Drosophila melanogaster: one gene and its partner. The protein of the gene in region 1 purifies or fractionates together with the protein of each later gene. This does not show direct contact. Each region holds a gene or a part of one and is shown in the gene's direction. Other genes may lie near its edges.

Region 1 (3,600 bases):
TGGAACCAATCGCCCATATGGCTTTGCGGATCCTGGCGCTCGCTAATGTCCATGATCTCATGCATTAGATAGCTCATGGTCATGTGCAGGGCAGTCTCATTGCGCAGTTCATGCGGCAGTGGCGTCTCCTGGTCGGCACTGCTGCGCGAGTACTGCTTCAGGGCTCTTTCGTGACAGATTAGCTCATCGGAGCCCGGTTGTAGTTCATAGTAGGCTACCTGGCGCTGGAATTCTCTCAGCACGCGCTCCTTTTCCGGACACATATCGGCGCAGTGACCCTGGGTGGCACCGGACAGCTTGTGTTGCGTTCGGTTCAACCGGAGCAGCTTATCGCGGGCATCCAGCACGCTGAACTTCTCCTCGCTTGTATGGGCGGGTCTGCGCATCATGTTCTCAAGATCCCTGAGCTGGGCAGGCGTACGATCTCTGCTCACCGGCGCCGTTGCGGGCCCAACTGGTATGGCAGGCAGCATTGAACTGCCACCGCTACCACTGCTGCCATTTTGTGGTTTTTTTATCGGCTTGCCCGACCCATACTCATTGCGCCAGCCCGACTGCAGTGCACTCAACTCCGCCTGAATGTCAGGATCCACCCACTCCTCCGTTTTCTGTGCCGGCGCCGTCTCGTTATCAGCATAGGATATATCAAACAGGTGACCCTGAAAGCTGGCGCCATCGAGAAGCGCCCGCGCCGCCTCGTCCTCGCTGGCATAGCTTACGGTGCAGGTCATTCGCCGCGGACGCAGGACGAAGTTTACGAGGGTTCCAAAACGTCCAAAGTGCGAACGCGCCACATATTTGTCCAAAAATAGCTCCGGAATGTTTCTGCATCTGGGGATTCGTATGGAACTATAGTTGACATCGCTCTGCCTTTGATGAACGAACTTTTACTCACAATAATGTCTTGTAGTTGTAGCCGCCGGGACGGGGTTCTGCCATCGATCGAATATAGTTTAAGGTTTTTAGTTTCTTTTTTAGCTGAATGAGAGCGAATGTGTGCTTTGTTGTTACAATATTGCCGTCAAGCGATTGCCGGTAATCGATAACGCAAATCTGAAAATGGCGCGAAAAAAATACCGCAATGGCTATCCCACCCACACAATATCGTTCAGGTTTAATTGAAAATTTTAATGTTTTACATTCGAGATGAATGTATTTGCCTAATAAATAAAATGTTAACAGGAGTTGGTAAACATATATTCTTAGGAAATTAGGAAATGCTTGGGGCGTTCCTTAAACTGTTGAATGAAATCGAACATCTTCTTATATTATCTTATATATATATGAATATATATATAGGTGTAGCAATCTTTTTAAGTTCTTTTTATTCTCTTTTAAGCTCTCGATTCAAACTCCTCGATCTTGATAACACTATCTGTCGTTCTTAGGACTATACAATTAATCCTATCGAAATTGGTTGTTCCTAGTATTTTATATTTATACATAGCTTACATAAGAAATATTTTCATCTTTACACTTTAATATTTTAAGACGATTAATTACCTCTTAATCAATATCTCTATTTAATAGGCTGACTTATATAAAGCAATGCAAATTCAATAAAACTTATTGCAGAATTAGATGGCATTTAGCCCAATCCCTGATTTTAAAATAAGCGGGAGATAACGAGCAGTAGTGTGACCGCCCAGTAAAGTATAACCAAATACCGCGAAGAAGCCAAGCTGCTGTTCCGATAGTATCGATGAGCCTGCCATCCCCAGAATTTTGGTCATTTGTTGTTGCTCGCCAGGGCGAATTCGAACTCGAAGCGCAGTAATCAACGCGCTGCTCGTGGATTTTTTTTGCATTTTTTTGAGTTCAAATAGTTCGTTAATAAGAGTGGCGGTCAACGATACTATTCCACTTGCAATCGAAATATGAATAGTTGAAAGTGATAAACAACAAGAAAGAAGCGACGCCAACGGGCGAAAAAGGAGATAACCGAAAACGAAAAACACGACAAAAGCAACGTTAAAAGAGAGTAACAGAAAAGATATAAAAACGATGATCGAACCGTAAATTTAAAACCATGCAATCTACAGCGCATAATATATAATAATTTGACCAAAACAAATGCCAAGTTTGCGAGCGAGAGCGAAGAACGTTAAAAAAAGAAGTAAATAAATGATCTTGGCCCGCTGTTTGTTGTTCTTGTTATTATGGTTGCCGTTGTTGTAACTCGTTTTTTTTAATGCGCGCGTGTATGAATCACACAAACACAACAAAACAAACAATAACAACGATGCCTTACGGTGAAATATGCTAAGTAAATAGCAAAAGAGAGTTCCAGTTTCCAGAGAGCGACAGAGAGGGAGAGCGCGCGAGAGCGACTACAAGTACATACTGGAAAGCGATCCCGATCCTTTTTCCAGGCACGCAGCCATCTCGCTCGCACCCATGCCGCCCTAGACCAACTTTTGTTGCAGCTGCCTAACAACCAACAATACAGCAACAACAAGCGCACTGTGCACGCGAAAGGAGCAACAAGGATGGCGATAGCTGGAAAGCGACGACGATGATGATGATGCGGTCGTAACAACAACAGCAACAAGAACAACAAAAAGCTGCTGCAGGCAGACGAGCATAGCGTTAAAAAAAAGTAGCTGCATACAAAATAGTAATAGGAAAAAATCCGAAAAATTCGAGAAAAAAATAAGTTAAAGAAACGATCGCCCAATTTAATCAAGTGCATATATGTGTGTGCAAAATAAAAAGTGCATTGCAGCAGTCAAAAATACATACTTATTATCGCAGATCGAAGACGATAATAGTTATTGTTAACACGAAAAGTACGAAATGAAGGTCACCGTCTGCTTCGGCGACGTTCGCATTCTGGTTCCCTGTGGTTCCGGCGAACTCCTCGTCCGCGATCTCGTCAAGGAGGCCACGCGACGCTACATCAAGGCGGCCGGCAAGGTAAGGGGATATACCTGATATATATGATATAGTATTATAAAGTATTACTTTACCCATCGATAGTAATTTTGATGGATAACACTTCTGGAGTTACGGGAGGTACTATGTAACTGATATAATAAATACATTAATTATAAAGAAGGTTATCTCAAAATATATTATATATACATACAAAGGACATTTACTTCATACATATGTATGACTTATAAAAATACCAATGGATTCCAATATTATACTAATTTTCTTTAATTGTATCATTATTATATTCATACAAAAAAAACCCAATTAACTTAGAATTCTAGACAATAATGTTAGGCCCAATATTATTTATGATTATATTAATGATATACATATAGACAACCGTTATCTCTCCCAATTCGTTTGAATATTTGCATTCAAAAGTATAAAAACTAATAGATATCGTAAAATACCCCGAAGCTCTCAAATATATATTATTATACACAGATAATGGTAGAAACTGGTAAAAAAAAATCAAATGGCTCTTATGGAATAAACAAATACAAATAAATAAAATGATATCTTTTCATGTAGAAATTAGTGCTCCTACATTTATTTATGTTGGTTACCAACCCATTTCAGAAAGTGCTGACAAAATATAATAAAATATTACCATTTTACTTATTACTTATTACTTCTCTGTGACATCCAGTTGAAATGTTGATA
Region 2 (3,780 bases), 540 kb from region 1:
TTCCAACAGCATCTTGCCGGCCTCCTCGTTCAGCGCCGATTCCGGATTCGGGACAATAAGCAGGCATTTGATGGTGAGCAGAATGTGCTTGATGCCCAGATCCGGCTTCCAGTCCTTCTTTAGTGTGTTCACACAGATCTCCCCGTTGGCGGCCACATTCGGATGAAAGATCTTGGTGAGGAAGTACGCCTTGGGTGGCGTCAGCGGGAAGTCCTTGTTCAGCGTCAGTTTGACGCGGAAAATTCCAGCGGCGTACGGAGTGCCAGCAGGTCCATCGATCAATGCCTGAATATCCGTCACATCGCTCTCATTGATTAGCACCTTGATGCCTTCCGGTGGCGTGGTTTCCATCTCCTGCAGCTCCCTCATCACCTGCCTTATCGTCTGCGGCGACAGGTTCTCCACATTCGAGTATTGCTGCAAATGGGGGAATGGCATTAGTATGGAATGGCAAAAGTTTATATATACAAAAATTGATTTTAATGACAGGGTTGAGTCATTATTTCTAGTTGGAATTGTACTTATTGGAACATACGAACTTTAAAAATGGATGGCAAGTACAGTACAGTACTTGTAGGCAAGGATTATTACATACAAACTTAACTAACAAAATCACATGTCTCCACAAACAGGGTATTTATTAATGAAATTCATACTCTTAGTATGCTGGAAAGTATTTGTAAGGACGCGATTTTAAGCTCTCACTACTAAACCATTCATAAGATTAAGAAGCATCTGTTGGATAGGATTCTTTACAATCACGGATACAACTTCTTAAGAATCGTTTCGTATTATTATTATTAGAATGCTAACAATTATGTGAGGAACATGCTCATCCTACCGAACTCATGATGTCTGAATTTCCTGCTGCTGTGCGTGTGTGTGTCTGTGTTGATGCGGGCCTGCGCTGGTGTGCGTGCGAATCGCTGTCTCAAGGTTTCAGTTTCGTCAGCTTATTCCTGCAGCTGAGCTCTTCGGCTCTCGGATAGTCGCAATTTCACCGCCTTTTCCCAGCTGCCTTGGAAAAGTGGTCCCAAAATATATGAATATGTGCGTTGTGGGCTGGCTTTAACTATTCCTTTGCGTGTAGACTCCTTATGCTTCCTTTGGCCCCGCTAGTCTCCTTGTCTGTTGTTTGGGTTTATGTTTTCACACGCACTCGTTTAAAGACTATATATATATATGTATTTGGTATAGCACCTCCTCTCGAAAATCTTGATTTTTAGTTTTTCTAGCGACTTAAAATTTTGTTTCGTTGGTTGCTTTTGTTTTGAAATCGATTCGCTCAACTTTGTCGTAGCTGCTGTGTGACCTATCTCGACTCTGGCGTTCACATCTAAACAAATTCAGTTGTCTAATTGGACACTTCACGCTCGACAACAACACACAAAAACAGTTTCATTTTACAGTAACCCTCGTCGCTGGCGCTGCGCTACAATTGGGGCATATTCGTGCTGGCGTCTTGCCTGCCTTCGATTTAAAAGCGGGTTTTTATTTATTTATTTAAAAAACGTCTTTGATTAAAACTGAGCATTTAAATATAGCTAATTCTTGTCTTGTAACAGTTAAGCCTCTTTTTTCGTGCAAACAGCAGCCACTTTGCAAATGTAGCGCATCTGAAGATCCACCCAGCCCACACAAACAAACTGTCTCTACACTAACGCAGCAACATGGCTGCTCAGACTCTATCGATATATCGATATATGCACAACATCGGTTCATGCCTAAGTTACTCTGGGAAATATTTAAAAACAAACAAAGAACATACCGTTATTAAAAAAAAAAACTTATTGTTGTGATAAATTCAAAACCTTTGCTAGCTATATTGAAAACAAATTATTATTATTTCTAAGTCTTTTTAGATACTTTCATTGTTGTTTAAATCTATTGCTTATAGCATATTTGTGGTATTTTAGAAAACTGAAATGGTATATTTTGGTTTTGCATTCCCCACGGTCACTCTGGATCTATTACCATCCGATAACCGATAGTGCCTACCAATATCGAAGTACGATAGTGCCCGATAGGTTCATCCATCCATTTTTTTTATTTAATTAGTTTTAATTTAGATTTCTAACTCTAATTTATTGGCGGCCCCCCACTATCGTCGCTCCCCGCCATCGGTACGCTGCACTTTGGTTCGGTTTCGGTTCGCATCGGGCGTATCGGTTCGATTTCGATCCTGAAGATCAGATCAGAATCTGCGGAACTCAACTGCCGTGTTTTGTGTTGTGTGTGAGGAACGGAGAGGAAAACTGTCAGTGCACTCTTGATCGGGCGGATCGGAGAAAATGTCGAAGAACAAGATAAACACAACGTCCGCAACGGCGGCCAGTGACACGAATCTAATCGAGGTGAAATCGAAGGTGAGTCCTAACTTTCGTGGCCCCCGGATTCCACGCCCCTTTCTGCGGCGCTGAGCTGCTGATTCATGCGCTCAGGAATGGGATTAATAGCTTAAATTGGAGTTCTGTGCGTGGAAAGGGGGTCTTTAGTCTGAGGAGCAATGTGTCTACCAATTTGGGAACTCCTATCTGTTGAGCTCGATTGTGTCAAAGCGGCCAGAGCAGGGATTAATGCTTGGAGTGCGAGGTGTGAGGAGCAACTGGTTTCCATCTTAGAAGCACCCCAAAAGTGACAATTTGCCCTTGCGAATGCATCTTACTTGTCGGAATTCCTGAGCTCTGATATGGATTGTTGCAACACCCTTTATTGCTTGGGCTCTTTGCCTGAAAACCAATCTGTTGCGCCTTACTCAAAAACTACCCTGTTTCGTTCATTTTCTGTAATTTTACAGAGAAGGAAACTTCAGTTATTAATTAGTCAAGGTACAATTCTTCAAGATAAACTCCAGTAATAGCTATAAGGCAGTAGATGTACTGCAATTCAGTGAAGGTCCCATTAAATTAGTAAAATGTCTGCATACAATTGAATCAACAGGTGATGCTGATGAACAAACTATACGGGTTTCAAAAGATTCAGCCCCTTTACTAATCAATACGTATCCTTTAGTTCGATGCAGAGTTTCGGAGGTGGAGCTTCAAGCGAAATGAGGCGGAGCAGAGCTTCGACAAATTCGCATCCCTCATTGAGCAGCTGCACAAGCTGACCAACATCCAGTTTCTCATACTCTACATCGATCCGCGGGACAATGATCTGTTGCCGATTAACAACGACGATAACTTCGGCCGGGCCCTGAAAACAGCACGTCCACTTTTACGGGTCATTGTGCAGCGAAAGGGTGAGTATGGGTATGCATAAGATACAATACGAGCCACTCAACCACAATCTTTTCGTTCACTCTATAGATGATCTTAATGAGTACTCTGGCTTTGGAACGATGAAACCGAGAAACCTCATCGGCAGCATACTGATGGGCCATACGCCAGTGAAGACAAAGGCGCCATCGATATCCATACCGCACGATTTCCGTCAAGTCTCGGCCATTATAGATGTGGATATAGTGCCGGAAACGCATAGAAGAGTGCGGCTACTGAAGCACGGCAGCGATAAGCCCCTGGGATTCTACATACGGGATGGCACCTCTGTCAGGGTGACGGCCAGTGGGCTAGAGAAGCAGCCGGGCATTTTTATATCCCGTTTGGTTCCGGGCGGTCTGGCCGAAAGTACTGGCCTGCTGGCCGTCAACGATGAGGTGATCGAGGTAAATGGCATCGAAGTGGCTGGCAAGACTCTGGATCAAGTCACCGACATGATGGTGGCCAACAGCTCCAATCTGATAATCACCGTGAAGCCGGCCAATCAGCGCACACTGACGTC

Evidence for each region.
Region 2: the proteins of baz (region 1) and par-6 purify together in Drosophila melanogaster (affinity purification with western blotting; 7 studies listed by BioGRID). This does not show direct contact.

What each region holds. Positions count from the first base shown.
Region 1 is NC_004354.4:17,158,276-17,161,875, forward strand, and holds the start of baz (bazooka), read left to right. Parts: upstream 1-1,730; 5' UTR 1,731-2,796; coding exon of another isoform or gene 2,797-2,916; intron 2,917-3,600. Other genes in the region: xmas, read right to left, coding at 1-831, 896-939.
Region 2 is NC_004354.4:17,701,360-17,705,139, forward strand, and holds the start of par-6 (par-6), read left to right. Parts: upstream 1-1,992; 5' UTR 1,993-2,291; coding exon 2,292-2,366; intron 2,367-3,012; coding exon 3,013-3,241; intron 3,242-3,308; coding exon 3,309-3,780. Other genes in the region: CG8188 (uncharacterized protein), read right to left, coding at 1-417, 842-850.